Alligator mississippiensis: one gene and its partners. Each later gene encodes a partner of the first gene's protein in a complex. Links are inferred from orthologs where the notes say so. Each region holds a gene or a part of one and is shown on either strand. Other genes may lie near its edges. The genes, in order: SNW1, CRIPT, CWC27 and GPKOW.

Evidence for each region.
Region 2: SNW1 (region 1) and CRIPT share a complex: the UniProt entries of both Homo sapiens proteins name them as parts of the minor spliceosome. The link is inferred for Alligator mississippiensis from reciprocal best matches to the Homo sapiens genes SNW1 and CRIPT.
Region 3: SNW1 (region 1) and CWC27 share a complex: the UniProt entries of both Homo sapiens proteins name them as parts of the minor spliceosome. The link is inferred for Alligator mississippiensis from reciprocal best matches to the Homo sapiens genes SNW1 and CWC27.
Region 4: SNW1 (region 1) and GPKOW share a complex: the UniProt entries of both Homo sapiens proteins name them as parts of the minor spliceosome. The link is inferred for Alligator mississippiensis from reciprocal best matches to the Homo sapiens genes SNW1 and GPKOW.

The regions. Positions count from the first base shown.
Region 1 is NC_081825.1:263,413,051-263,421,219, forward strand, and holds the start of SNW1 (SNW domain-containing protein 1), read right to left. Parts: upstream 3,030-8,169; 5' UTR 2,941-3,029; coding exon 2,927-2,940; exon of another isoform or gene 2,655-2,926; intron 2,453-2,654; exon of another isoform or gene 2,345-2,452; intron 1,872-2,344; coding exon 1,718-1,871; intron 1-1,717. UniProt on the Homo sapiens protein: Involved in pre-mRNA splicing as component of the spliceosome. As a component of the minor spliceosome, involved in the splicing of U12-type introns in pre-mRNAs.
Region 2 is NC_081824.1:199,216,507-199,224,690, reverse strand, and holds the start of CRIPT (cysteine-rich PDZ-binding protein), read right to left. Parts: upstream 3,230-8,184; 5' UTR 3,147-3,229; coding exon 3,131-3,146; intron 1,778-3,130; coding exon 1,712-1,777; intron 1-1,711. Other genes in the region: PIGF (phosphatidylinositol-glycan biosynthesis class F protein), read left to right, coding at 5,923-6,150, 7,774-7,865. UniProt on the Homo sapiens protein: As a component of the minor spliceosome, involved in the splicing of U12-type introns in pre-mRNAs. Involved in the cytoskeletal anchoring of DLG4 in excitatory synapses.
Region 3 is NC_081826.1:261,519,551-261,527,033, forward strand, and holds the start of CWC27 (spliceosome-associated protein CWC27 homolog), read right to left. Parts: upstream 3,257-7,483; 5' UTR 3,175-3,256; coding exon 3,133-3,174; intron 1-3,132. Other genes in the region: protein SREK1IP1, read left to right, coding at 3,503-3,515. UniProt on the Homo sapiens protein: As part of the spliceosome, plays a role in pre-mRNA splicing. Probable inactive PPIase with no peptidyl-prolyl cis-trans isomerase activity. As a component of the minor spliceosome, involved in the splicing of U12-type introns in pre-mRNAs.
Region 4 is NC_081831.1:28,334,567-28,341,866, forward strand, and holds the start of GPKOW (G-patch domain and KOW motifs-containing protein), read right to left. Parts: upstream 3,021-7,300; 5' UTR 2,993-3,020; coding exon 2,947-2,992; intron 2,845-2,946; exon of another isoform or gene 2,836-2,844; coding exon 2,589-2,835; intron 1,962-2,588; coding exon 1,816-1,961; intron 1,348-1,815; coding exon 1,208-1,347; intron 595-1,207; coding exon 488-594; intron 61-487; coding exon 1-60. UniProt on the Homo sapiens protein: RNA-binding protein involved in pre-mRNA splicing. As a component of the minor spliceosome, involved in the splicing of U12-type introns in pre-mRNAs.

The DNA of each region.
Region 1 (8,169 bases):
TGCCTTGGTTTCCAGCACATTGTCAATGTCCGAGTTACCCTGCACCACAGCATACTGTTTGGGTAGGTAGCAGAATTTAGATTGTTTTGTTTTTTTAAATAGAAGCCACTAATATGCATTTATCTCCCTCAGAGAAATATCTATAATTATCTGTTATACTAAACAGGGGTCTATTGTCCTGACTGGAATATGCATCCATTATCATACCAGTGATACAAATAATAAATTGGAGAGGGATTCATATGCGAATCAGTATTTAACATTTGTGATCTTTACCACTATAATAAAAAGCATTTGTGGACCTATGAAAGGCACAAGATTCACAGGCTTTCTGTTGAGGATCTGTATTTACCACTTAACACACAAAAAAAGTGCAATTTTTTTTCCCCAAAAAGACAAATTTATTCTGCTGCTAAATGACTAAAATTTCCTGCCAACGCTTATAGTGGGCACAGTAAGAATGCCCAATTCCAAGTTATCAGATTTCTCCAGCATGACATGCACTATCACTTGGTTTAGAATTACAGACCCCTATACTTTTTATTATTCCCCCTTTCATATAATACACAAATGCTAAAGCACTTAATAAACTGATGAGATTGATATCTTGAGCTAGGCTATCCTGAGTCAGTAACAGTATCATAAGTCAGTAACAGTTAAAGCACATGTAGTATTAGTTGTCCCAGCATGCTAAGAACAATCTTGTAAGGGAGGACAAATGCAACATGAAGCATTCCCAGTGAGGTGCTTCAGTGTTTTCATCCATGAAATGTTTTCAATCATTCATTCAATGTTTTCATCCAGTTTCATCTTTCATCCAGTTTTATCCATGGTCATTTTTAAACATTTGGGCTGATTTGTAGTGGAATATATTTTATATTACACTGATGAACTACATGGAAGATTTTGTGAAAACCCAAAGGGTGAATGAAATACTATACAGGTAAATTTGCTATGAAAAAGCGAGCTATAAATATTAGTGCAGGGGTTGTCAACCGGGAGTACGCGTACCCCTGAGGGTACTTGAGAAGGCCCTAGAGGGTACACATGGGCAGGTGGCAATGGAGCACCACCTGCCCAGCCAGATCTGAGGGGGGGAGGGGGAAGCTTGCAAGCAGCAGCTGCCACACTGCATTTGGCTGTGCGACACCCCCCACCAGCCACTGGGGAGGGTTCAATAAAGAATGCATTATACAGTGTAACTAAGAGGTTTCTAAAGTATGCAATACAGTAAAAGCCATGTTATCCGGCACTTTATTAACTAGCATGTTCTATTAACCAGCATGCTGGTCAACACTGCAAAAGTGAAACTGGAAGTCCCACTTCCAGTTTCACCAAGTCCACTTCACCAATTTTGGGGCATGGCCCCCTTCTTGTCCCCCAGCACAGCACACTGATGCCAGCAAGTGAAAGCCTGGCACCAGTCTGACCAGGCAAAGATGCCTCTCAGGTAACCAGCATATTTGGTTATCCAGCACCCCCCATTCCCCATGGGTGCTGCATAACAGAGCTTTTGCTGTTATAAACCAAATGAAAAAACAAAACACACTTCCACCTAGCCTGTTGAATATACAGCCAATTCCCACACAGCCAGGCTCACACAATCCTCCATGATATAATCCAAGTGCTCAGAATTCACCTCTGCTTCAAAAAGAGAGGAACAAAACTTATTTTTCAGGGGGAGAGACTTCATTAGAGCATGAATTCAAATATTTACCTCCAGCATTCGTGGTATCCATCCTTTCCGATAACCATATGGAGGCGGTTCTCTGCGTGATGAAACCAGTGCTGTTTGTCTTGATCGCTGAGCTCTTGCTCTTTCTTCTAATTCTAGCTGGTCCTGAGACAGCTGAGTTGGAGCTGGCAAAAAACTGCAAAAAATGGGAGAAGGAATTTTAATCTTATATTTTCACACTCTCCATGCCTGAGATTGAATGCAGTACTTGATTCTGCTACTACGGTATTCAAAACAATTGTTCATCTGTCCCTGGTCTGTATTGGATCATACGCAATGTACAACACTTGAGCATTTCACTTTCCAGTTATGCAGCAGCTACTCTGGAATTTAAACGGAGAAGAGAACACAGTCTCTCCCCACCAGGCCAAAAGATTTCTATGGGGTTTGATAAAACCATCATCCACATTTCCACCCCCCTGGCTCCAGGGCAGGAGCCATATCTACCTTCTCTTTAGCAAGGCAATAACGAACTTGAAAAACCCTACACAAGTCTGCATCTAAGTATGCTTTCCACTGCTCTTGACAACAAGGTGAAAAATATCCAAGTTTCAAGCATTTCCATACCTAAGTGACTTAATGAAAAAAAAATAAGAAAATTGTTTCTACCCTAATTATGTGTGGTGCAAAGCACTAGGCCCAAGGAGGGCTTCCCCCTTCCATAGCACTAGTGCCCTCTTCCTTCTGGACAGAAGCAGAAGATCCCAAACTCTGGGGAAGCCTGCGGAGGCTGCCTGCCTGCCTGGTAATAAGGCCCCTTCTGACCCTGCCAGGGTCTGAGGAGCCTGGAGAGCAGCTCCCGGGGCGCAGCGGGGTATGCCCGCTCCCGGGACTGGAGGGGGGGGGGGCGCTTCCCGCCGAGCAACCAGCCACCCCCTGCTCGGGGAAGCCGGGGGGGGGGGGAGGGGAGAGAAAGGGGAGCGGCTGCCCTCGCGCAGGACAGGGCGGCGGCAAGGGGCTCTCCCGCCCCAGGGCGGGACGCCCAGTGCCGGCCATGCCCCCCAACGGTGCCGGGCCCCGGGGGTGACGCTTGCCCCCGAAGCGGGCGCTCCCAGCTGCGGGCCGGGGCCCCTGGAGCAGCGCCGGGGCTGGAGCCCACTCCCCCACAGCCAAGGAGCGCTGAGGCCAGGCGAGGAGGGCGGGGGAGAGCCCCGACCCCGCACCGGGGCGCACTCGGCCGACCACACCGACCTGGTGAGCGCCATCTTGTCTCCTCCTTTCTCTTCACCAGGCTCCAGGCCGTGCGGCGAAGCCGGGTGCCAAACCGAGCAGGCGCGGGCGCGAAAGGGCTGCTGGGAGTTGTAGTCTCTTGTCTCTATTACGCAGGGCGGTCACATGATCCAGTGCGCAGGCGCACAGGCTGAAGGCTCCCTCGGCGCGAATCTTGGTCCCGCTAACGACTCTAGGCGGCTCCAGTGTTCCACTGCGCATGCGTAAAAGGCTATTGCTTTGCTCGGCGCCGGACTGTGGGCTGGGCTTGTAGAGCTGCGGGGCTGGGGAGTACGTGCAGGATGGGGCCTGGGTTCTGCACCAGAGCTGCAGAGCTGTTCAGGGGCGTCTGCTAGTTGCAGGCTCAGCCCAGCCTCTCTTGTGCACCACAGTGGGGTCCAATAAAGGTTGATCTTTTTTTCTTTTTTTTAAGGAAACATTTTCATGTTCCAGGCCAAATCAGACAAATCCATTCCAAATCCATGACTTATTCAAGAACCATATGTGGCCCTACTACCAGCAAACATCCTCCACCCCACCTGGGGCTTCAGATGTTTACAAATTATTTGGCAGGCATCCTATGTGCAGGTCCAAGCCCAGAGGCTTGGGGTTCAGATCCCCCCAGGTTTTGCTTGCCCTCAGCCATATGGCTTCAGGAGCAAGCTAGGGAGGAGTCTCCCAGTTCCATCAAGTGGGCATAAAGCTAAGATCTTCCCACTGAAAATTGAAGTGGGAGAGTATATATTACCTCTGTAGGTACTACCCCATGCCAGAAAAGTGGTTATCTTCTGTCCCTGGGAAAACCTCTATGGTGATCATGGCATTTTCGCATCATTCATGACAGATGGCAGCATTGCGTGGCCCCAAGCAGCAGTGCCTTCACTGTGACATTACCTTGTTGGGCACCCTCATAGCACTGAGCTCTGGGACCTGATCCGTGGTGGGTACCATGGCCCTATCTTCAGTACGGAGCCAGCCTGTGGCACTGGCGCAGGGCTGGCATACCTGTGTTTGCAGGGTCCTCTAGCGTGGTGATGTTCAAGCTTTTTGACCCCATTGGCCAGAAGAGAGGCATAGGGCTGGTCTATAGGCCAGAAGAAGCCCTGCACACTGCCATTAGGCCCCACAGGGCCTCAGCTGGCCCCTGCCTGGGGCCTGGCACTACCTCCTCCCTGCCCCAAGGAGCAGGAGCAGGAGCAGGAGCAGGTCCTGAGGCCTGGCACAGCCCCTGCCTGGCCACGGACACTGGTTGGAGTGCAGGGCCCAGGGCTCCCCACAGGTCCAGACATCTGGCAGCAAGGGAACTGTGCCACCACTCCCACTCCAAACCCATGGAGAGCCCTGCAGGCCAGATGATGTGGTACCAGGAGCCAGATCTGGCCCATGGGCTGAGCCCCCCATCTCTAGTGCAATGGCTCTCAACCATTTTAGATCAAGGCACCCCACTGCAGTTCTGAATTTAGTGGTGCCCCTTTTCAAAATCCTATAAGTGGTGACAGGTTTAGAACTTTTTTTCTGAAGCTTCTTTACCTTAGATGAGATCTCTTCACAAAAATTATTTATAATGTTTTAATTTAAGCACGTGGGAGAAGTTGTAGGAACACAAGAAGTCAGAAAATGAGACCACTGCAGGGTCCCAGCCCCATAATTACATGGGTACAGTGCTTTCACTACAGGATAGGGACTAGGGTTTGCAGACCCCTACCCTGCCACACCCTGAAAGTGCACCACTGGCACTTTCGGGCGTGCCTCTGGCACTTCCGGGTTGGTGGGATCAGCCACGGGGGGACCACATCTCCTGGCACATTCCCCAGCCAGTGCTCTCAGGGGGGGCACTAGTGCTCTCGCTTGCCCCCCTGCCTGGGAACGCTGCTGTCAGGGGGTGCCCCAGCGCTTTCAGGGGGTGCATGTACACCCCCGTGCACCCCCTACACGTCACCACTGGCAGCAGCAGACTCTCCCACAAACAATTCAGGAAGAGAGACATTTTCTGCAAGACCCCAAGGAAAGCCCCTTTTTCTGCAGCTTGGATGTAGGGTCTAGCTATTGGAGACAATTTAGGATGCTGGGAGCCAGTGAGTATACACTTAGCCTGAGTGAGAGAGGTAGAAAACAGCCTATGCAAACTGCCCAGTGCCTCAGTTAGGACACAGCCCCAAGCTTCAGCTCCACACCTGCTCCCAGACTGGCCCCGCAGCCCCACATGTCTGTACCTGTCCCTTAATCTGCAGCTTCTGTTTCTCCCACTGTTGCTTCCTTGTGAGAAGCTGCACCTCATTCTCCATTGGCTCATCCTCCCCAGTTCTCTCTCCATAGGCACTGGGGGCTACCAACACCACCCAGTACAGGCTAAGCCAGCTCAACCAGCCTCTCCTGACTTTGAATGCTTTGAGTGGCTCCACAAGACCCCTATGCAAGGCACAGACAGGTCATGCCAGGCCACTTCCAGAAGGATGCATACATGTTAAAATGTCCTTAGAAACATGTTGCAGCACCCCAGGGTACCACAGCACCTGGCTGAGAATCACTGCTTTAGTGAAGATGCTGCATATATCAGCCCAAAGGTTTTTCTCCCTGCATATTTGTACCACCTCCTGAACTAGCATAAGCTAAGCCAATAAAGCCCTTTTCTGCCTGCATAATGGCATCCATAGCAGCAGTTTTGCTAGCATTACTATGTCAAGTAGGGGTTGTAATCTTTTCAACGCTGTGTCCCTATAGCTGATGTAACTATAGTGTAGACCAGGTTAGTGTCATGAAGTACCAACAAAATGAGCCAAAATTATAGTTTCCTGCCCCCTTGATATATTTCTGGTATCTGCAAGCTGCTGCTGCTGGGAGAAATGTTCCAGAAAATGTGAATAATCCCTAAAAATTACATCAGGTGGAGATTCTGAAGGATGGGAGCTTGATAAAATATTCAGATATTTTCTCAGGCCTCTTTTATAAAAAGCTCCCAACAAGCCATGCAACTTTACTTTTTAATTACCTATCAGAAGGACAAAGTGTCCCAGGGAGGGACAGAATATATTGTGCAAGTAGGACTGCAATGAAGCTCTTTGCTAATTTTGATATCTAGTACCTGGATACCACAGATAGATGCATTAGAGAGAGAATGATAGAGAGAGTGATGAAAAGTGCTATGTAAGTGGTAAATATTATGATCAGTATTATGAAACTCTGTCACATTTAAAATGTTCTTAACTAGGCTTAAAAGTAAAAAAAAAATCTTTTGTACTAAATTTAAATGCCAGCTGCTGCACTGTATGTGTGTACTGGGCATACATTCACATACCTCCACAGAGGTTTTTTCCCGTGATTCAAATTTCCAAGAGGCTGAAAGAGAAGGAATCTTTTGAGATTTAGATAAAGAAAACTGTTCATGGGAAACCCCCCCAGAAAAAAAACAGTAAATTCTATTAGCCTGTGGAAGGTAGACCAGTTTTACTAAAAGAAGTTCATCATGAAATAAGGTAGTGCTGGGAGTAGGGATGGAAGAGTCCAGTTCTCCATAAAGTCAGTAGAACAAAATTAATTATTTATTAATTATTACTACTGCTTATATTATATTGGTACTTAAGGCATGGCAGAAAGCAGGGCTGCATTGTGTCAGGCATTGTTTTAGATACAAGGTAATAAAAAAATCCATGCCTGGAAAGGTTTACTATGTAGCCCAGGGGTATCAAAGAGTCCAACCAAGAGCCTTTCAAAAAGTCCAGCAAAGTCACCTCAAAGACGTCCTTCCAAATCAATATGTTTCCTATTTACAATATAAATACATTATATACATATTACTCATCTATAATTGATTGAGTACAAAATTCTGGGGTATTTTTGACTGAAAATAGGGTATCAGGAACCAATCCCCAATTTATAACATTGTTTCTTATGAGAAAATTGGCATCAAGTTACAACGTTTCGACTTAAGACCCGGGTTTTCAGGAATCCATTGTGTCGTTAAGTCGGAGGACTGACTGTCTGTACTCTATTCTGGGCACTTCAGCCAAAGATACAAAACTTTTTCATACATTGTTTATCTGTAGTAAACAGCAAATCATTTTGCCAGGCCCCATCTCTCTCTCTTCTCCTTTTCATTTCCTTCCATCTTTTGGTAACAAACAACAGGGCAGTTTTTTCTACAGCTCTCACCATCTGAAACTCCCTTTTTGTCTCTCTTTTTCCAGCTTTCTTATACGTCACAGCTGAAAACATAAATTTTCTCTCTTGTTTTGGCCTGTTGGATTTTTTCTTTGTTGTATTATATTATTTAATGCTGTATGGCAAACTATATTATACAACTCTGTAAAGTGTTTTGACATGTAGTTTGTATGAAGGCTGCTGTACAAAATCATTGTGTTAAGCTGTAAAATTGTAACTGAGCAATCCAACTCAGCTCAGACTCTTGGGAGATGCTTCATTGGTTTCCTTGCTCTCACTGAGTGCTCCTGCAACTGCTTCATCTTTTCTTTTTGCAGTCAGGAAGCTGCTTTTGTTTCCAGATGATTTTTAATTTCCTGTTATCAGCAAGAACTCAGTTCTTCTGAATCCTTTATTTCCCCTGCCTGAAATTGTATTGCTCAGTACAACCTTAGCTGTGACAAACTGAATGCAGTTTAGTCAAGTTTGAGCTTGTGTGAGGCTGGCTAATTAAAGTTTGTAGACAGAGGGCGCTGAGCAGAGTTGAGCATATAGCAACAGGGATGGCACAAGCTTTCTCAAATCCATGTGCTTTAATGCATTTTAAACCACTGTTGTTCTACTCTTGTGCTTCTCTTTCCCCACAACTCTATTAATACCCTGCTAACCTAGGATGTTTTTTACACAAATAGCTTATTTATTGGAAGATGCAGTTTTGGGTTGAGCAAAACTAAATTTGCAAATTGTTTTGACTGAAAAACAAAAAACACTTCAAAATGTTTTGCTTCAGCATTCTGAAAATGGAATGTATCAACTTTGTTTCAAAGTGGTGTTCTGAGACTGAATTTAGTTATACTATATCTTATTTTTTTAAAAGGATAAAGAACATGCCAAAGCACAGCATTTCACTTTGGGTTGGTCAGCTTGTTCAACGAAAAGTAAAATTATTCCAGTTTCTTTTCTGTGACAAACAAACACACAAAACATTTGTTCCCAATTCATTCCAAACATTGCATTCCAATCCAGCCATTCAGCTGAAAAATCAGGTATTTGAACAACTCTACTCCAATCTAACCTATGACACCTCA
Region 2 (8,184 bases), on another chromosome or scaffold:
GTCCCCACATGTTATGCTTCTTATGTCTAAGAGATCAGTCATACTACCTTTATACAGTACGCACAAAACATAGAAGCAATATATTATAAGCAATCTGTAAAGTTATCCATGGGGGCATGTAATATAGTTACTATCTTGATTAACTTAAATTTGATCACTTTGCTCTTAGTTCATTAAAACCTAACTTTGCAGATGTATACACTCAAATATTTTACATATTTACAGAAACTTTCATAACAAAGCATTAATTTGGTCTCTATATTCACATTTTAAGTTCTCATGTCTAGTTACAATTTGATATAGTTTTTTATAATCTGGCATTTGAGGATAAAATGCATGCCTCATTCTTTTTCTTATTTGTTAAAAAAATTCAGTGAGAAGCCCAAATCATAAAACAAACTCAAGGTGACCAGTCTACTTCACCTACATAATGGTCACTGCATAGCTGAAGCTTTAGTTATTTATCCTATGTTATATAGAAGTCGGGGGCACAGCTAGAAATGGAAGTTCCTAGTAGTTTCCCATCTAAAGTCCTGTGCCTGAACTACTAGTACCCCCTCCTTTCTCTCATAGGAGTGTAAATATTGAATTATACTTCATCATCCTATTTTAAAGCTAGTATTTGTTTGTTTAGGATATGGATTTTTTTAACTACTAAATATGTGATGGCATGAGGCAACATACAAGCCAAAGGCCTATAAATGGCCAAGAATAACCAAATGTATGCAGACTAACTAGTCAGCTCAAAGAACAGCAAATTCAAAGCCAAGTCTTAGAATACGCAATTAAAAGCAAAGCTGGCAGGTAGAAACTGAATATTGTATACATATTAGGACTAAAATGTGAGGCAACAAAAGGACTTTATGTTCTGTTTAAGCAACGTAGTCCATGAAAGTACATACCTTGGCACTAAAAAGTATAAGTTTTCACTCATCTGAATTTAACCTAAAAAACACCCAACAGCTACAGAAGACAATAACTCGTGTGCAAAGTACAGTATAAGCCTACTGATTTCAATACTAAAGGCACTATATAAGATGAATTAGTTAATAAATTCAGACAAAATGCCTTGCACTGAGAAGCTTGCACTTCATTAAGTCTCTTTACTTTGCTACTCAGAGCCCTTATGTCTCTAACAAGAGTCTTCAACCTGACAGGACCAAGCTAGTTTCTGGGTTGCTCTTAAAAGCCTGACAATTGAGCTGCTAGTCAGTTTTGCTGCTAGTTAATGTCACCGATTCTTATGCAGTTAAACAGAGTATATTACAAAGACACCAGGCCAAAAAGGTTCCTAGGCAGGCATAATTTATATGATTAGCCAAGAGGCTGACTGACATTTGTTGCAGTGTAAAACTGAGACTGGCACTGTATTATTCCATTAGGTGAATTATGCACTTCTCCAGTACACACATACGTCAATACACATGATAAGTATCATTACTTCACACTGGAACAAATCATGGCTGGAGGAATGCAGTACCGAGAAGTCAGAATTGTGACATTTCCCACAGAAAATGAAAAAGAAGCTGCAGTACGTTAAAGTGAAGAAAAGGAACAGGCCAGCTGCTTCATGCTGTCAGAGCTGTAAGATGCTTCACAGAGCCTTTTAATTACCTAACTGGTTCAATGCTTACTGAGTAATGAATACTACGATTTCTCTAAGTAAATGCTTAAAAATACTTCAAATAAACAAATAAAGTAAAAAGAGTACCTGTAGTGTTTCTAGCCCCATCCTTCCACGTGTCAGGGGTAATCACAGTGCCCAGTTTCTTCTCACCTATGGCACAAAAAGACAGAAGAGGAAAAAGCAAGGAGATGTAAGTGAAAATGCCAAAAAGAAGGTTTCTACTAAAGCCACAAGCCCCAAGCAGGGTACCCCCAAGTACCCCGAGGTGGGAAGGGATAAGCAGATACAGCTGCAGGCTCAGGCTTGTCCCTGTTGGGGCCCCTCTGTGAAGGGGCGTGCACTGTAACACGGGAGCTCAACCCCCAGCCCACGGTGTCATGCCATCGGCCCGTGGGCTCCCCACAGGTCTGGAAATAGGGTGGTGGGGGGCTGTGGCACTGCTCCCCTATGGCCAAACTCCCAGGCCTGTGGGGAGCCCCAGGCCCTGCACTGGACTGGGCCCCACCACAGTCTGCAGAGCCAGGCAGGGCAGTGCCCACCCCCAGGGCCCAATCCTGGCCAGAGAGGCTACGAGGGTGTCGGGGCCAGGCTCCTGGCAGCCCAATCTCAGTGGAGATGGAGGAAGGCAAGTTCCCAAGGCGCAATCCCAGCCAGGGGTGGGGGTGGAGCCAGGCTCCCAGGGGCCAATTCTGGCCTAAGGGAGATACGAAGGGTTGGGACCAGGCTCCAGGTACTAGAGTTCCCATATCTCTGGGTTTTCCTGGATATGTCCTCTTTTTTGACTCCTATGCTGCATCCGGGCAGGTTTTTAAAATAATAGCAAATGTCCAGTTTTTCTCCTTTCCAGGGCTGGCTGCTCCAAGCTGGGCAAGGCGATTGGCTGTCAGGGGCCACATGCTCCCCACACCAGCTTCAACAAGCCAGGTGTAACCAGAAAGAGCGAGAGAGCACACGGGCATGCTCGCAATGCAGGAGCTGCTTGGGCAGCAGGGCAGGGGAGGCAGGGGTCTGCAGGTCAAGAGTGAGGGGCACCAGCAGAGCTGGGGGGGCAGAGGCTACAGGTCCACAGTGAGGGACACTGGCAGCACTGTGGGGGTCATGGAGTGAGGGTCACCACCAGGACTGGGAGGGAGCAGGGGACTGGGGGGTGGGAGTGAAGGGCACTGGCAGGGCGGGGGTCAGTGGGTCCAGAGTGAGGGGAGGGGAAGCAGCAGGGCTTCAGGGGGTTAGCTTTGTCTGGCAGGGGCAGGGGCAGGTCACTCCCCACCCGTGACAGGTGTCCTCTTTTTGGACCTGGAAATATGGTAGCCCTAGGGGGGGGCAATCCCGGTCCGGGGGCTGCGAGGGGGCGGAGCCGGGCTCCCGAGGCCGAATGCAGCCCGGAAGAAGGGGGTTAGGGGTGGGTGAGTGCTGCCGATGGCAGCCAGCGTTGCCCCGGCCCCTCCCCCCCGGGGGATGGGGATCGGCCCCGCGGGACAGGGAGGCAGGGCCCTGTGCACTCACACTTCTCGCAGACCATAGTGATGGCGGCGGCGGGGAGGTAAACACTGACAGCTGCACTTCCCGGCGCGCACTTCCTGTCCCGCCCCCGGCCCGACCCGGCCCTCGCGCGGATTGGCCGCCGCAAGCCGTCCATCACCGGCCGGCGCCTGTTCACGGATCGCCGCCTGTGCGCTGTGTACGGGTGAGGGGGCGGTGGCTGGTGACCTTTGACCTCGGGCTCGAGGAGCGGCGGCGCGGGGGAGACGCAGGTGAGAGCGGGGGGTGGGGCGGGCAACGGCCGGGATCCCCCCCCTCCCCCCTCTGCAACTCGTCTTCACGCACCCTGCCTGTGACAAGAGTGTCGTGGTGATGCAGACCTGGCCTAGCCTGTGCGTAGGCACGGAAGCACACATGTATACTCACACACACCTGCCGGCCGCACCCTCACTTGCATGCATGTACATGTGCCAGTATGCACACGCAGATTGTATACATGTACATATACACCCACACATACTTACACATACATGCACCTGCACACACTGCACACTTGAACAGACACACACATGCATACCCACACACTGCATATATGCACATGTACGCTTACACACATGTGCACCTACACATACGTGGGTGTATACATATATATGGGGAGTCTCTGATCAGCAGAGACTCTCCTTTCCTGAAGAAGGGTGATTGCACCCCAAAGCTTGCCAAAAACATTTTTCCAACCGCTCTGTTGGTCTAATAAAAGAGATCACATCTATTCAAAGAACATAGCCTGCCTATGTATACACATGCACACACTTGCACATACATGTATGCCTACACATGCACTAACTCCTGCACTCGTGCCCATGGTTGCATACACATACCTGTATGCATACATGTATGCACGCACACATTTGCACACACATGCATACACACACACCTGCACGTGTATGCATACTTGCACATGCTCCTGTACCTATGCATACACTTACACGTACACATCAGCCACTTCCTTGCACTGGTAGGCCATGGCCTGGCGAGGGTGCACATCTGTGCTGCCAGCCCCACACCAGCACTCTGTCACCAGAGGGATGTTGGGGAAGCTCTGGGGGCTCCCTCCTGTTTTCAACCACAGCAGTGTTTATGGCGTTCAGAGCAGATTCCTCCCCCACTCAGGCCCCCAAAGTGCACCTTGCAGCCCTGCAGTTGTTCTGCCCACTGAAATTGGGATTGCCAGGGTTCCTCACAAGGGCAGGTGGGCTAATGCCATAGTCCCTGACTGCTCAGCATCTGGCCTGCAGGCCAGATCTGGTCCCCAGCACTGTGTCATCTGGCCCGTGGGACTCCCTGCAGATTTGCGTGCATTCGGTCACGGGTGCGAGGCCTGATGTGGGTATACGGGGCTGGGTGGGGGTGGCATGGGGCCCTAGGGCCCAGTCCTGGCACCCAGGGTGTGAGCTAATACATGGACAGGCTCTGTGCCATTCCTCTGGCCTGTGTTGCCAAAGCATTGAGCATCACTTTTGGAGCCTCTTGATTTCTTTTGATCTGTGTAGAGTGGAGTGGGAAATGGTAATAGTTAAAACTGAACACCCTGCCCCCAGAACCAGATATTACTGCATGCTATAAATGTCTGTTGTAGAGTTAGAAAGCAGCAGAGAATCTCTGCAGTGAGAAATATTACAAGTTTTTTCCATTTCCTCCATTTCATACTAGTGCAGCCTGTGAAGATGGATATAATCACTAACACTTATGTTTCAGTATTACTGTGGCCTGAGGTCAGGGGGTGAGTTTGGTTTGTGTAGAGAACAAAACAGCTCCGTTTTGCTTCTAGACATTTTCTTTCTGTGAGAGCCCACAGGAAGCAAAACATCACCATGTTAGGTTTTCAAGTTCCGCATATGATTGCTGTATACAGTATAAACTACTTGCCACATGGGCAGATAAGGTAGGCAGCCATTTGACAGCTTCCATTGATTTCAATATTAAAGGTACTTTTTAAGCTGATTTAAAGGCTGTTGCTAATTCTTGTGGGATAAGCCTGCTGTCAGCTTTTCACACCTCAATAATGCTAGTTATATTGTTACTTAAAGTACCTTACCTGCTAATAGCAGTGTTGAAATTAACAGAAACTCCTGAGGTTCAGGGCTTGTCAGCAGTTGAAATAGTCTAACAGAGGGATTAACTGTTCATCTCACATATTGGGAAGTTTCCTGGTTGCCAAATAAGCCCTCAATATGCAATTTAGCCTGTATGTGAAACTTCCCAAAGTATTTTTACTGCTGACCTGCCATTAGTCTCAAAATCAAAGGTACCTGCATTGGAAGAACACCAGGCAGTCCATGTAAATGTTCAGTATTAAAACAAGCTTTTAAATCACTAGGTGTTTGGCTGCTGGCTTTTGATTTACAAAACTTTTTTGGGGTAGAGTTGGGGTGGTGGTGTAGCCATCAAGGTCAAGGAAAAATGTGAGGGGCAAGAATTTTTGTGGGTGACATTTATTGGGCCATACAGAAAAATTTTCAAGTATAACAGGTCTGTGAGGAAGAGTACTTCATGCCCAAAAGCCTTTCTGTATGACTCCCAACTATACAGTTGGTTCCATAAAAGATATCACCCACATGAATTCATGACCCTCCAAAACTTTCTTTACAGGGGAACATCTGGATTGCCCCTAAACTGAGTTTGCTAATTAACAGCAGACCACAGTGTGTTTTACTACATATTTTAACTAGGAAAAATAGTGTCTTCTAGTACCACTTATTTTTCAATAACTAACTAAAATTTGTTTTTTATAGGGTGAATATTCAACAAATAACATAATGAAAGATACAGAAATAAAGAAACTCCTCTTTGCCCACATTTTCTGTGTGGTTTCCATTATTCTGTCAACTGTCGTTCCATCTTTCTTCTTGGAGAACTTCTCAGTTTTGGGAACACACCTTACCTGGTTGTGTATTTGTTCTGCTTGTGTCACTACTGTAAATATATTTTTATATATAATAGTAAAACCAAATCCATCTTCTAAGAGAAGTTCATTTGCTCACAAGGTAAGACTTTATACAGTTAAGTTAACACTAAGGGCATTTAGGGAGAACTGAAGAACTGACTTTTTGTACTGAAGGAACCAAGTGGGAAAATGAAAGAGCAAAATAAATTCAAGTGTTAGTGAAGTTCTGGCTAAGTGTAGTACCTTCTGAAATGGGTTTTTAGTTTTCACAGATGCTAAACTTTCTCTCACACCTAAAAGCATTCAGATATACAGTACTTCTTAGTCTGTCTTCTGAAAGTATTTAAGACTTTCTTTGAACCTCCAACAGACTTCACTCTGAGAAAAGTCAGTGTGGGTACAGAAGACTGCATGCCTGGAGCTCATTGTAGAGTCAGGGCTGAAGCCAGCATTATGAACGTATCTCTCCACAGCTAAAAGTTGTCAATAGGTATCAATAATCTAAGGTAGAAAAGAGCATTGAATCATTTTTAAAAGAGCTTCACAAATTATTGAATAAAGGTAACGTTAAGCAAACTTGAATGTTCAATACGGTTAAAATGGACAGTTAGGCTGCATCCACACGTGTATGGATGTTTGTTTCCCCAGGGACAACTAGCAGTGGGACACCTTGTGCTGCTGCTAATTGTCCCCGGGGAATGTGCATGTTATGCATGCTTCAGCAAGTTACCCCAGGGGTGGTAGGGGAGGCTGGGGCCAGCACTGGGCTGGCCCAGGCAACCTTATCTGGGGTCCTAGGGGCCTCCTGGGGCTCCAGCAGTGGCAATTTTGCTGCATGGAGCTTGGCTGGCATCCGCAGTGTGGCTCTGGCTTGCCTGGCTCCATTTTTGAGTGGTGAGTGCTGCTTGTGAGTACACTGCTGTATTTTTTTTCTCCGTGGATATATTCAGATATCCAGGGGTCAAAAAAACCATCTGTGCTGCTCCCTTGTAGCGTGGAGAGCAACTGAATGTGCAGTCTGCGGCACCACATACCGCATGGCCATGCTCGTCTGGACACAGTTTTAGTGTCATTTGAACAAACACATCAGTACCCACCAACATCTTCATTTTAAAGAAGGCATTGCATATTGTAGTTTGTGGTACTGGGAGTGGAACACAATCCAGAACCCAACCAAACCAGGGCAGGGGAGCAGAAAAGTAGCTCAAAGACTTTTTTTTCAGTCTTCCCTGCCTCTGTAGCTGAGCCAAAGGACTAGTTCATTGAAAATTTAATGCTTTTCAGTCTTGGACAAGCCAGACATTTGAAGGCAATACTTTTGTGCACAGAATGTCTGGTAAAGCACTGATTGACTGAACTAGTGCATTTTTCTATATTGATCCTGCCCTCCCCCTTTATGCTATGTGAACGATTCTAATAAATAATGTTAAATGTGCAGAGGAACCAAGCTGAGAAACAGACTTTTTTCCTCATTTACCTTTACAGTTGTAGTCATTGCAATCATTGGATGTACTACTTGTTATAAGAGTGCAGTAGACAAAACAATTTCAAACCAAGAAGGGTTTATTTTTTTAAGTTATTACTTTAAAATAATCAGGACCTCTTGCATATTAAATATCTAGTTTCAACCAAATGATTATGTAGTTAATTAGTTATGTATTTGTAGAATTTAATATAGATGATTACCCTGATATTTTATTAAATTATTTTTTCCTTTTTTCAGATATCTAGATTTCTAAAATGCTGCATATACTTCTTCATGTCCTGCATCGTGTTTCATGGAATTATTGTCCTTTACGGAGCACCATTAATAGAGTAAGTCTGAAAACCATATCTTCACTGAAGACCATTAAGATCTATCTCTCCTTACAAATGCTGGTATAACAGCTTTTGTTACCAGACACTTGGGACTGTCTGGCCTCTGGAGAGAGAAGACTACAGCCCATGTATGATCAGTGCCTCTTTTGCAAGCTTAGACATGGAATTAAGGTGCAGCTACAAGTCCCTTAATGATTACCATTTAGGCACAAACTTAAGGTACAAGTTAGAGTTCTTTTGAGTATCAGCACCCATTTCAGAAAGAAGGCAAGAGACCAATCTACTGCCTGCCTTTTTGTTGTTACATCCCAGAAGT
Region 3 (7,483 bases), on another chromosome or scaffold:
TTTGAAGGAAAACTGGGATGGGGGGGGGGGTCACATACATGTACATACCCCAGACCTGCACGCATGCACCCCTTCCCCCACCCAGAGCCGAGGTTCGAGCAGGGTGGGGTGGGACAGTGCGGAGGCCCAGGTTCAGGCTCTGTTCCTCCATGCGCAGAGGCTGAACCCAGCTGGGAGAGGCTCCTGTGTGGTGCCCCTCAAGCTCTGCCAGCTTGCGCTATGTAGCCACACAGCGCCTTCCCCCAGCCACTGTCAGCCACCTGGGGCCGCCACATGAAGCCCAGACCTTGGCAGCAGCAGAACATGAGGCTGCTGGTGGCCATGCCGGTTTACCTTATACATGTTCCTGAGCCCCAGCCCCCTTCCCTGGTGCTGTTCCTGAGCCCCCGCCTCACCTCAGCCCATCCCCACACTAGGCAGGAGGGTCAGGTCAGATACCATGCTCAGCGCACCCCTGCAGCCTCCAGAAACTGCTCAGGAGGAACAGCACCAGGTATGTGTAGGCAGGGTGCTGCCTCTAATCCTAGACTTCTGCTTCTATTTTAGGCAACTGGCAGGGACAGCCCATGAAATTGGGGACTGTCCTGGCCAAAACAGGACATATACCTTAGCTATTGTAGATACCCACCAGGACCATCCTCCTTGCTGTTTTCCTCTTTTACCTTAAATCCAAGACTCTAAACAGGACCTCAGAACAAGTACATGTATTTTTAACATGCAAAATATACTGCAACTGAACATTTGCAGATGAAGTCTCTGATCAAATCACACCATAGTTTGAATGAAAAAATATTTTCCTTCTCCAATCTGAGAAATGCAGAGGCAGAAGTGGAAGATCGGTTTGGATTTGCAGCAGCAACAGCAGCCATAACATACTGGCTGTCGACTTTTCTCCCCTCAAAGTGGTGCTGATACACAAGATATAGCTCTGAATTAAAGCATGTGATAAGAATTTATCATTGGTGACTTGGCATGTGACACTTGTGTGCATCATTTTATCTCATTATACAAGGGGTTGGCAACCTATGGCTCAGGGCACTGACATTACACTTGTGCTACGGCAGCAGTGGAGGCATCCACAGGCTTGTAACCCCTGCCCTGTTCCATATTCCCTCCGTAGCACCTGCTGATCACCAGCAAACACAGATTTGTGGGTCACAGCAGAGAGCTGGGTTGCCAGCAGAAGCTTGTAATGGCAAAATGTTGCAAATCCATGCTTTTTATCAACATCCTCTACTTCTTTTCTTTTGGCATCTTTCCGTCTATGACAGATGGTAGATATTGCAGCCTATGACATAGATCTGAGGTTTTTTTCAAACTTTTTTAACTAGTGCACCCCTTCTGGTGGCAGCGGCTAGAAATGGGGCGGGGGAGGGCTGGGCTCGCATGTGGAGGCTGCTGCCACTACCCACCACCCCGTGTTGCCACTGTGCCCCGCTCTCCCACAGCCAGTCGGACATGTGGCTCTGAGGGCTGCTGATAGGCCTTGCGCCCGGCCAATCGTGCACCGCCTGTCAGCACCCCATGGAGCCACACATCCATAGAAAAGCTGCGCATAGCAGTGGCGTGTGGTGGTGGGTGGCAGTGGTGTGTGAGCTCCCCCATCCCCTGCGTCCGGCCAGCCAGGCTGCACCTGTGCGGCCCGCAGATGTGCACTGCTGCCCTTGCCCTCTCTGGACCTGCTCCTGGGAGGTGGCGGCATGGGGTGGTGGCCACCGCATGCAAGTGCCCCCGCCCCACATCGAGCCAACCCTAGGGGATGCAGGGCCCAGGGCAAATCAGCCTGTGTGGGGCCCCTTTAACATGGCATGGGGTCATGGGACCCCCACAAAGGCAATGAAATTTGGTGCCCAGGGGCCAAGCAGATCTCATGTGCCCCGACAAGCCGCTCTTCAGCAGATGCAAAGCTGGTGACGTGCTGCGGGAGGATAGCGGGGTGGCAAGCAGCTAGATACTTCTTCTGCGGCGTGGGGCTGAGCTGCCAGCTCCAGGCGGGCCCCATGGGAGGGGCTGTGGCCATTCTGCCCAGCTCTGCGGGGCCCCCCCCAAGCATGAGGCCTGGGGCGGTCGCCCCTGATTTGCCCTACCCAAAGGACAGCCCTGCGCACATCCATCATCAGAGGCGCTGCTGCCCTCGCCCTCCCGCCCCAGCCCTGCCCCTGGGAGCAGGCACAGAAACACACTTCCCCACACCCCCGCCATTCAGGCCCTTTGTGCCTTGCAGCTCTGCAGGCAGGAGGTGTCCGCAGCACTTTCCTGCCATCAGCTATTGGCTGAGGGTAGCAGCCAATCAGGAGACTGCGCTGGGGTGAGGTGCTGCAGTGTGCGTGGGGCCACCCGGTCCCTCAGGTAAGAGGGAACATGTGGGAGCGCGCTGGAGGGGATGCCCCTGCTGTGCCCTGGGGCGCGCTCCGTCCTTGCCTGCCCGTGAGTATCCTCTATGACCTCTCTAAGTACCCCTAGGGGTATGCATGCCCCAGGGCTGATGACCTGACAGATGGTTCGCAGCATCTCATGTGACTGCATATCCTGTGCTAGCCACTGCCCATCTCCGTGCAAGGCACCCACCTTCTGGCCTCCCACGTTCGGACCCTAGAGTGGCCAACCCTCCGGGATTGCCCTGCAGTCTCCAGGAGTCAGATATACATCTCCAGGAGACTGCTAAGAGTCACCTGGGAGATAAATAATACAGCATTCATTAAAATAAATATTAAATGGTGAATCTAATGTATACAGTAGTCCAGTGAGTTTTTAAAATGCAATGGTACATTTGCCTTCCTGAGCGCGGTACAGCAGAGCAGTCATTAATGCACTGCATCACGTGATGAAACCTCAGCTTCAAACAGAGCCGCCCACCCCGTCGGTCCCACGCGGAGTAGCCGGGCCCAGGCCTCACCCCAGCCTGGGACCAGCCCTGTGCCCCGGCCCCGGCCCAGCACACCGCAGGACTGGGCCCGCACGGGGATGTGGAAGCAGGGACCGGGTATCCCGGACGACAGCGCCCACGGGACGGATCCGGCCCCGGCTCCTCGTTTCCCCAGAGTGGCGCAGCCGCCCTCGAGAAGAACGACACGGCCATTCCCCGCTGCTCTTCGCCCCCGGCCCCGGCCCCGGCCCCGGCCCCGGCCGCACCTTGCCGTGCGTAGGCGGCTCCTGGATGTAGATGTTACTCATGCTGCCCCCGCCGCGATCCGGCCGCGCCGCGCCCCTTCCCCCACGGGCCCGCCTAGCTCCGCGCGTCGCCCGCCATGTTGGGCCGTACCACTCAGCTGCGGGGGGCGGGGGGCGCGGGGGATAATGCGGTTGTGATGGGGTCGCAGGCCGCCTGGGTAGGGCGGCGCGCTACCCCCATCTCGCACTCCTAGGCCTCGCAGCTGCTCCCCTCGGGCCGCCCCCGCGCCTCCCTTTCCCCCCCCCCCGCCTGGGCGAGTGGTGCGGCCCACGGCGCGTCGCGCTCAGCCCCGGCCCGGAACAACGCGGCCCGAGCAGGCGGAGGAGGAGGATGGCGCTGCCAGGTGGGCACCTTGTTTGTGGGCAGCGGGTGGCGGCCCCTTCCCCGTGTCCTAGTCCCCCGGCCGGGCTGGGAGCGCCCTGCCCGCAACCGGGGCCAGGTCGCAGCCCAGGCTCCTGGATGCGGGGACTCCCCCTCCGCGCAGGGTGCGGGGAGTTGTCCCCACCTGTGGGGCGTAGGGTTGCCAACCCTCCAGGATCGCCCGGGAGCCTCCAGGAATTGGATACAATCTCCAGGAGACTGCTGAGAGTCACCCGGGAGACAAGTAATAGGGCGTTCTTTAAAATAAACATTAAATGTTGCATCCAGTTTAGGCCCATGGGGTTTTTTTTTTTTTAATGTAATAGTAATATGCATTTGCCTTCCTGAGTGCAGTACAGTAGACTGATCATTAATGTCACTACATCACGTGAGGAAACCTCCTGGAATAGATTCAAACAAAGTTGGCAACCCGAAGTGGGGCATTGCCTTCCTCTGCCCGGCCTGGCCCTCTCCCAGGGTCTCCTGAGCGTACGCTGACCCCCTTGTACAGCAGCCAGACATGGGTTGCTGCGTCCCCTGCTCTGCCTGGGGTAGGTGAGGGTGTGAGGGCCGTGGTGTGTCAGGGTTGAGCTCAGGCTTGTGCATGCACAGTTTAGATGTGGGTTTGTACAGGATGGTTTGGGTAGGGAGGATCCTGCCTGTCAGGCAGGGGTTGGACTAGATGACCAACGGGCGTAGTATGCACTCTAGATTATTTTCTGGTGATGTTTCAGCTCAGTTAAGCAGTCAGGCAACAGCATCAAAAACATTCACAAAGTGAACTGTAAGTCACTTTCAGAAAGCAAATTTTCCCAGATCTACAGAATACCCCACCCGTCAAGGAAAGAAGTTTTAATTGCCAAGCAGGGCTTTGTAAGGGATATGCTGTGGTTTTAAAAATGTTTCCATGCTAGTTTATTGGGCGACTTGTTTTCTTCCTGCCTGTGTGTGGAGCTTTAAAGTGGAGTACAGTTTGTACTGACTGGCCCCGCTCTTTAGGCCTGAAACTCATGTGCCTGGTGAACTAGGACAGCTGTAGAGAGATCTCCAGGCTGTAGGTTTAGTTTTGGAGTATCCTTCTCCTAGGTAGGTTCCCAGACCAGGGGTAAAGAGTTCCACCTGCCCTAGTTATTGGGGTTGGGTCGCTATTTGTCTGAAACCTCACCTTTGACCTTAATGCCATAGGATACCCTACCAAAAAGGCTGTCCAGACAGCATCATTCTCAGGATCATCAGGGCACGCAAGCCTCTCCACCACAACAAGGAAGAGGAGTTTATTGCTTCATAACAAATCAAGCTCGTTCTGCCATCAGTGAAATTGCTGCTGAGTGGAAGTATTGGCCACAATCACGATGCAGAGTAATCCCGAGTTCAGTAAAAACTCATACAGAAAATTTAAACTTTCAGCAGCCTTTTATAATTGGTTTGGGCTTTGCTGGCCTTATATATTCCTTTTTCTAGTGGCCATATCTAACATGACAGCACCCTGAATTGAATTGTTTGCAGGGTTTGAATCCCAGAAGACTGGGTTATATGTCTGTGTGAGCTAGTGGACAAGGTGTGTTAGCTCAAAGCAGCAGGACAATTATAAAGCTCTATGCATGGGCTACCTGCTGGAATGGAACCAAGGGGTGTGTATAAAAGTTATTTTTTTTCACCACTTAAAGCGCTTTATTGCCATGACAGGGGGATAAGCCTGGGTGGAAGGAGGGAGGGATTGAGGCTCCCCTAGTGAGGGAGGAAGGAGTGGGGCTGGAGTTGCTGCCCAGCTAGGATGGGGCCTGGGACCGAAATGTGTGGGCACAGAGTTTGGGCAGAGAGTGGGATGGAGCTGCAGGCGGTTCATTTGGCGGGCAGCAAGGGGCCTGGCTTTCCACTGCTGCCCACATGTCCTCCAGATTTGTGCGCAGGGCAGAAGTGGATGTGGGCTTCTTGCTGCCCTTCCCCTGTGGCCTCTGCGTCTCAGCAGGTGGGACCTGGCGCGGCAGAGTAGGGCAGGGAGGCTTGGTGCTGCATCTGGGGGGCTGGGACAGGAGGCACCTCATCATGGCAATGCGAGGCTCCCAGCTGTGACACCAAGCCTCCCCACCCCACTCTGCCTTGCTGTGTGGGGTCCCACCTGCTGGACCGTGGGGGAAGGGCAGCAGGGCAGAGAGCCCCAAGCCTACAGCAGGCATCCTGCATCTGCCCCCACCACAGGCTCCACTCCAGCTGTGCTCCACAGGTGGCAGCTGGGGCTTGGGTGCTGCTGGGGGAGGGAAGGTAACTGCAGATCCGGGTTCCTGTCCCTGTAGCCCTAGCAGCCGGGGACCCCCTCTGGCAGGACTGGGTGCAGGCAGGGGGCTGTAGGTTGGGAGTGAGTGACACCGGCAGGGTTGGTGCGACTGTGGCTTGGGAGGGAGGGGCAATGGCATGGGCAGGACACTGGCATGTCAGTGCAGCTCCACGCCTCAAAGCAGTGTGGGGAACAGCCACAGCTGGACTTGCATCCTGGTGAGCAAAGGAGGCAGGGGGAGCTCTGATTTTTCCATGATAAAAAAACCCAAAATCAAGTGCCAAAATTTATAGGTATTTAGAATTTATTTATTATAGTGATTGAGGCACTGGTAGGCTTCCAAATTGCTTTTACATTGTAAATGTAAAACATTGTGTTCAACTGATTCTCTCTCTCTCTCTCTCTCTCTCACCTATATATATATATAGAGAGAGAGTGTGAGTGGTGTTTAATTTTAACCACGGAAAAACATGGATTTGGGGTTTTTTTTGATCAGAGAGTCTGCAGCTTTTAAACAGAAAACCAGGATGCCTGGCCATGACTTAATAGAAGTGTATGGATTTACAGTACTTTAAAAATGGATACATCACTTTAAATTACCCCTTGTTAAATGAGTTATTACATTTGAAGCACTGTATTTTACAGCATTTTAGCTTTACAGTGTTTTAAAAAAATTCTGTATACTGGTCAAATTTTTGACCAGTAGAGAAGACTGAGGAGGCTACAGAGTGCCCCCTGCCCCCATAACCTGGAAAGTGCAGTGAGATTCAGAGACCTTTCCCCGCTTCCTCTCCAAACCATGCACTTCTGTCAAGTTTAAGAACACTGTAACCATAGGCGCCAACTTTCATTTTTGCCTAGGGTAGGGGGTGGCCAAGATGATGGATGTGTGCCAGCCCCCAGTATGTGAGGAATGGGGCAGGTATGTGGGAAAGGGGGGTTGTGGGCACAGGTAATGTGTGAGGGGGTGGGAGGGACCATGTGCCTCCCACCAGATTCCTGTGCGCAAAGCAGGGTATGGGGCTGCAGCCTGGCCAGACCAGCCTTGGGCAGGATCCGCTTCAGGGGCTCAGTGGGCAGGACCCAGTACAGGAGGGAGCACCACACTGCCCTGGCCTCCAAGGTAAGACACCCTCTGGCTCCAGCAGCAGCAGGAGCACAATTCCATGCCACTTCCACACCTCACCTTGGTGGCCATGGTGCTCTGTCCTGCGCTGGGTCCTGCCTGCTGGGCCACAGAGGCAGCTCCTACCTGGAGCTGGTCCACCCTGGCTGCAGCCCTGTGCCCCATGTCCTGCTGTGGGTGCAGAAATCTTGGGAGTCACATGCCCCCCGCTGTGTCACCTTCCCCATCCCCCGACTCCTCTCTACCACATTGCCTGTGTTCCCTCGCTCCCCTGATGCATTGCCTGTGCTCCCCTGCCCCTCTCCTCCACATTGCCTGTGCTCCCCCTCTTCCCTGCCACATCACTCTGGTCCCCTTGCCCCTCTGTACTGCATCGCCTGTGCGCCTCCACCCTTCCCAACATGTCACCTGTGCCCCCTCATCACTCGCCCCCATAGACTTACCTGGAGGAAGCTGCTCTTCACCACTGCTTAGCTATCATGTGCTTGTGTCACCCCCTTCCACCTATAGCCCTCCCTGCCCCCCCCTGCCCCAAGCAGCTCCTTGCACC
Region 4 (7,300 bases), on another chromosome or scaffold:
TGGGCAGCCCCCAGGCCCAGTCCCTTGGGACGCAACTCATGTTCTAGTGGCTTCACAGCCCTGGGGGAAGGATGGGACAAGAAGGGATTACATGGCACCCCTAGTGCATCCCATGGTACTGACCCCTGTGCACTCCTCCCCCACACTATGACTTCTGATCCCACCCAGACAGTTCCCCTGAACTTCAACCCCAGAAGCAGAAAGAAGATTCTACACATCGTCCCTTCCTGACCTTCTCCCCAGGGTCACTTCTGGACCTCGGAAAGTGGTTGTACCCAAAATTCTCTCTGGCATCCCCCAGTTTGACCTTTGATGTCACAGGGCAGCCTCTGACCATACTCACAATCCTCTCTACCATATCCCACCTTGATCTCTGATTGTACCCACAACCCTCCAACACCATGCTGTACCCCTCGTTGCCCTGCTCCCTCCCCTCTGACCCTTGACCTTCCCAACTGCCACGACCTTTGCCCCCAGGGTCACTCACTGCTTGAAGGTATGGCCGATGCCCTCGCCCTCCTTCCAACCCATCCCCCGCAGCATGGCCAGACCATAGGCCTCCACTGGCACCTCTTCATAATCTGCCTCTGTGGCCTAGGGGGCAAAAGGGATACATCAGCCCACTGGGGTGGGGATTCTGTGGGGAGGAGGGAGTTCTCTGGGAGCTGGGGCCCAGAAGTGCGAGCTCTCCCCCTGCATGAGGCAGCTGGAGGCAAGGAGTGTGAGGGATGCAAGGCCAGCTGGGCCTGAGGGAGGGGGAAAGGGAGAGGTCAGAGTTGGACACCTGGGTTCTCTGAGAGGGAAGTGGGAGCCAGGGAGGGTAGTCAGGGAGAGTCTAGGAGCCTGGACACCTGGGTTCTCTGGAAGTGGAGTTAGAGCAGGGAGCAGTGTCAGAAACCTAGACATGTGGATTCTGCCCCTGCGTGGGTCACCTGGCACCAGGGGCAGAGAGGGGGGATATTGGGCCAGCTGAGCTGGGGGGCAGGAAGGGATCAGAGCCAAACACCTGGGTTCTCTAGAAGTGGAGTAATGGCTGGATGGGGTTACAGCCGGGGGACCTCAGAGCCCTGACACCTGGGTTCTTTAGATTGGGAGTGGGAACTGGGAGTTCATGAGCTGGGATACCTGGGTTCTGCCCCTGCATGGGCCAGCTGGGGGCAGGAGGTGGGTGGGGGAAATACAGAGCTGAACCTGGAGATTCCCTTACCGACTCAGGGCGCAGACTGACGTCCACATGGTCGCTGTCCTCGTAGCCACTAAGTACCCTGTTCTGGACTAGCATGGGAATGGTTCGAGCCAGGGAAGCCTCAGCACCAGCCTCCCAAACTTCCAGCACCCGCTGTGACTCTGCAAGGTACAGGGGAAGTATCAGAGCTAGATGCATGGATTCTTTGGGAGGGAGATGGAGCTAGGCATTTAGAGCAGGGAAGACTGGGAACCCAGGTATCTGGGTTCTCTGGGAGGAGTGGGGGCTGGGAACCTGGACACATGAGTTCTCCCCCAGCTCTGGCAGGGCATCTGGGGTGGTGGGGAGTCTGGACATTTGGGTTCTGCTTTTGAGTGGGCCAATGCAAGGGGAGCCTTTAGTTGACAAAATTAGCACTTTTTGGGGGGAAGCGGGAAGGGGAAGGGGCCACATCTAGCACCCTGGACACCTGGGTTCTCCCCCATTTCTGGTAATTAGAATGAACAAATACAGAATAAGAAAAAGCATGAAGGGGTGGGGAGACTGTACGTGTGGGTTCTCTCTCTGCTCAAGCATCAGGCTGGGAATGATGGCAAGCCCAGACACCTGGGTTCCCGATGCCCACTCACCCTCAATGATCTCCCGAATGGCCTGACCCTCAACCCTGTCCCCGCCAACAGGGTCTGGAGAAGCCTCGCCCGCTGGCCGCTTCCACTGGTTCGTCCGGATCAGGGGAATGACAAGTGCTGAGGGGGGCCGTGGGGCCAGGCAGACACTGTGGGGAGACAGCTTTCTGATGCCCCACCCCTCACAGCCTGAGGCCCCAGCCCTTTCTCTGCACATGCCCCCACCTCCACTACACTTGATCTGAGCCTTCAAGAGGCGGAGAAGGGATTTAACCATGCTCCTTTGCACTTCCTAGGCCCTGCCCCCTCCATCAAGATCCCCTCCCCAGTAGCCACACCTCAATGCCCCACAACCTCCCCAGATGACCATGCCCCAAAACCCTATAACCCCACAGAGGCCGACCCCCTCATCTACTGACCAGCCCCTTATCTTAATTCCAACCCCTGCTCTCTGGGGCCACGCCCCTTCCCCAACCCACGCCTCCAGCCTGCCCCTCTTCCTTACCCCGCCCCCTGCCCTAAGTGTACACGCCCTTTCCCCTCTGCAGGCATGCACTGTACGCACCATGGCTCAGATGCCCAGTGCACACCGACTTTTTCCTCGGTGCACGCGTTCTGATGTAACCCCTCTGCGAGGCAAGCACTTGGGGCAACCTAAGCTTCCACATTAAGCATGCGTCCAAAGACACCCAGCCTCTTCTCCTTCCTCCTGTGTTCATGGTCAATACAGCTCGCGCATGCGCCATTCCGCTTCTCTACCCCGCCCCCAGGGATACCTCTGGAGCTCCCGGTCCTCCATAGCGCGCACGAAGTCTGGTTCCGGCACGTGTTCGGTGGCGTCAGGCTCCGCGCAGGGTCCCGACTCGGGACCGGGCAGCCGCCTCCGCCCAGCGGCGGTGCGTGTAAACCCGAACGACACTGGTCCCGCTCCACCAGCCGCTGGCGCCGCCATCTTGCCGCACCCGCAGTCGCTGCCGCAGGACATCATGGGAGTCGTAGTCTCATCCTCGGAGCTGGCCCTAACTGGACGCAGTAAGGTTTCATGGGAATTGTAGTCCTCTCAGAGCCACGGCCCTCTAGTCGCGCCCGGAAACGCCACCGAAAAGTATCATGAGAGCGGTACAGCCGACTCACCGCGGCCATCATTGCCTCGCCTGGGGTTTGCGGTACACGGAATCATGGGAGTTGGAGTCCCCCTCTACTAACAGGCATTTCGAAGAGACAGGAAGGGTTGCCTGAATCTCCCATCATGCGGTGGGATCTTTGACGTAATACATAGACAGCATGCATTGGGGCTCCAGGCTAGAGTTACCAGCATGCACTGGAGTAGCCTACAGGTCCCAACTGCCCTGATAACTGCTCCCCCACCCCTCCAGCTTTGGGGAGGGGGAGCTGGGAGAGGGCTAGGGAGAGAAACCAGGTGTCCTAGCTCCCAGACCCATTTTGTTTAGTCACCAGACCACCCCCCGCCCCTCACTTCCTTTCATTTTGGGATGAGCACGGATTAGCTGCCCTGCCACCTAAGTATCCATCCCTCCAAAAAACTCCACCCTCCCTAGCAGCCTAGCCACAGGGGGCAAGAGGACGGTTACCTGGGCAGCGGCCCTGTTGCCTTGGCAACCCCCCCCACCCCACTGCCTGCAGCCTGGGTACCCAGCAGGGGATGGAGATGGAGGGCTTTTGCACAGGGCTGATCCCAAGGCTTCCCCCCCCCTCCCCCCACCACCACCACTGGCCTATGGCAGATGGGATAGGATAACCTGCTGGTTGGACTTGGATTGTCAAAGTTGGGGGACTGCAAATTGGGAGTGATGGAAGGGGCTGTGGGTCAGGAGTGAGGAGCACTGTGGGGAGGGTGGCCTCACCAGAGCTGGGGGCAGGGCTGTAGGGGGTAAAATGCGGCTTGCTTATGCTCTTCACCCCAGATCTGGCTGTATCTGAACACTTTTTTTTCTCCTTCCACTCTAAAGGCCTACAGGGACTCCCAAGAAGACTCCCCCACCCAACACTCATCTTGGGGCTCTAACAGAAGGCCCCCAATTGCACCATGGGGGGTCCCAGACCTCAGCCCCATAACTGGGGCTCAGAGAGGGGTGAGGCCTATGGAATCAGGTGAGTCACTGAGGGGCAGGTGTCACAGGGCAGGAGTGATGGGCACCCCAGGGCTATGGTGCAGAGGTTCCAGGACAGGAATGGGAGGCACCATAGAGCTGATGTGCGGGGCTGCAGATTGGGAGGGAGGAGAATTTTTATCTACCCCTTCCCCACAGCTGCAGCACCCCGTGGAGCCCCCCAGAGGTCAGAGTTCCCATGGCAGGGTCGATCACAACTACAGGAGGTAAGTGTAGGGGACCAGGAGTGGCAGCAGGGGGCATCATGTGGGGCTCTGATAACCTGGAGCAATGGATGACACTCTGGGACTATAGTCCCCCTCCAGATCACTAGGAGGTGACATGCAGAGCTGTATCTCCCTCTTTAAGCTACTAGGGGATGCCGTATGGAGCTGTATTTTCTCCCCAGGCCATTAGGGGTTACCATAGATCTCTTTATCCAGGCCATGGGGGAAGCTGTGTGGGGCTATATCTTCTCTTCTAAGCCACTAGGGCAGTGCTTCCCAAACATTTCCTCAGCATGACCCCATTTCCTCATCATGGCCCCTCACTCTCAACTCACAGCACACCCCCCCCTTGGGTGCCCCTCAATCCTGACCCACAGCTCCCTGGCTTTGCTGGTGCTCCTCATTCCCCATCTGCAGCCCCCCACTCTCCCCAGGTGCCCCAGGGACAGGGCCCTCACCTTAGCAGTGCCTGAGTTCTGTCTACCACCTGAAGGAAGCAGCAGCTGCTAAGGCCAGAGCATGAAGCCCGGCTCCCTGCCCTCCACCCCTGTCCCTGACCCCACAGGTGGTACAGCCAGAGTAGAGCCCATGGGGGTGGGAGGATGTGGGCTGTGGGCTTGGGGCTCGCTGCCCTGCTGCCTTTCCCCCAGGCCTCTGCAGCCCGGCAGACAGGACCTGGGAGAGAATGCCACGCTGCAACCCCATCTACTAATGTTGCGACCCTATTTGGGATCACAACTCACAGTTTGGGATCTGCTGAAGTAGGGAGTGCTGTATAGGCCTGTATATCCCCCTCCAGGCCACTGGAGGATGCTGTACATGGCCAGATTCTTCCCCCACCCCCTCCAATGTTCAGAGCTGCATTTTGCCTCCAGGCCACTAGGGGATACTGTGCAGTGTTGCATCTCCCCCACTGTGGCATTCAAGGGTACAATATAGGGTTGTATCTCCCCTTCCAGGCCACTTAGGCGGGGTGCTATGTAGGGCTGTATCTCCCCTCTGGGGCATCAGGGTGCACTATTTAGGGCTACATTTCCCTCTTCAGGCAGTTCCAGCTACAGCTTGGGGGCGTGTGGGACTAAATATACTTCCCAGGTCACTTGGGAATGCTGTACAGGGCCATGGTTCTCCCCCCAGGGAAACTGGGGGCGGGGGGGGGGTGTTGGCAGCCATGTCTCATTAACACCTGGCTCTCCACCCTGCAGTGAATGTGGTGGTGGTGGTGGACGGGAGCTGGGTACTGCAATACAGCCACCAAGGGGTGCTCCACTCACCTTCCCTATTAGCCTGCTGCCCCCACCCCTGCCTGGGGGGCAGGACCACAAGCAAGGAGGTGGGGGAGGGGGTTGGCACCTGCCTGTGCCCCTGCCCCACCACTCCCCAGGGGTCACTGGCATCAGGGCAGGGGGCACTCAGGGGGGACAGATCTGGGACCCCCAGTGCTGCCCCCTGCTGGGCAAGGCAAATGAGACTGGCAGTGGCCTGCTGTTCGTTCAGTGCCCAGGTCAGGAGCTGGGGGCAATGAGGGAGGGTAATAGGTGCGGGGGCATAGGGATAAGGGGTGAGGAGTGCGAGGGCTGTGAGCAGGGCATAGGGATGGGTCTAAAGCTAGTGGCAGGGAATTGGGGTGAGGGAGGAGATTCAGGGGGCTAAGGGTTGGGGGAGAGTTTAAGATTAAGGGATGGGGCATTGGGTGATGAAGGATGGGGAGGGACTAAAGTAAGGGGAAGGGTATTTGGTTAGAGGAAGAGCTAAGGCTGGAGGAGGGGCACGGGGGAGGCTAAGGTTGGGGGAGGGGCAGTGGGGTGGGGAAGGGACTAAGCCTGGGGCCAGGGCATGGGGTTTGATGGAGGAGTTAAAACTAAGGGAAATGCATGGGAGTAGGGCTAAGAGGGCGAGGGTATTGGGGTAGGGGGTGGGAGAGGGTCATGTGGGTGTGGGAGGACTGTGGGGTGGGGCTAAGGCTGTAGGGGAGGGGCAAGGAGTGGAGTTAAACCTGGGCAGGGACAGGCCCTAGAGCAGGAGAGGGGCAAGATGGCTGTAGAGGTATCTCTGAGGGTCCCTTACTCCACTAACCCCTACTTTCTCCCCCAGGCCCCAGGAACCTGCCCCCATGGTCAGCTGCTGGCCCCCACTGCCTGGGCTCAGGGGGTGCTGAGGAACTTGCTGTGACCAGCTTTGTGGGGCCTGAACCCCAGGACATCCTGCTCAGTACCCTCTGCAGGCCTCATCCCCCAGGGGGCACTGGTGTGGCAACCAGGCCCTGCCCCCGCACTGGTGAGTGAGAGCAGGGGTTGTCTGGTGCCTAAGGGGTTAACTCCTCACCCCTAGCTGTTATCAGCTGCTGCCTGGCACCACCTGTCTGCCCCTGGGTCCCTTCAGCCAAGGTCAGTCTGTTTGGCTTGGTTTTGGGAGGGACTTGCAGCCACTCAGGGCCTAATAGCTCCTGCCCCTCTGAACACTACCATGGTTGCCTGTACCTAAGCTTTGCTATGGGGCTGGACATGTAATTATTTCTAGGGGCCTGGAGGGAGCAGATATTGAGTGAGGGTGGGACTGGGGTTTTGGGGAGGGGTTCCTGACAGGGTGGGGCAGGCACCCCCAGCATGCTGGGCGTGGTATGAAGGTGGGAAAGGAGCATGTTGGGGTACACACATGCACACACACCCATGATGGGGTGTGCACACAAACACCCACACACCACCTTATTCTTCCCTCCCCACCACAGGCTCCTCCACCAGTGACTTGAATGGGCCTGATACTGATGTGAGGTCTAAGATTGGGGGTTCCCACCCCCTACAACCCCAGGTACTAGAGGGAGTGGGGATATTGATGGAGGAGGGGGGACATGGAATGGGCAGGGATCAGGGAAGGGGAATGGGGGGTTTGTCTGGGTAGTGAAGGGGAAGTGGGGGAGGTGGGGTGGAGTATCCCTTTGACCCTGCCTCTCTCCCCCTGCAGATGCCAGCGCCTCCCCCTTTCTTGGTGGAACTGGCACGGGGCCCCCGAGGCTTTGGGCTGAGCCTATGTGGGGGACCATGACTGCGGCTGTGGCCTCTACATCTGTGTGCTACTGGAGGGGGGGCCAGCCCAGCACTGTGGATGCATCCAGGTAGTGTTCTCCCACACCCAGGGATCACCCCCCCCCAC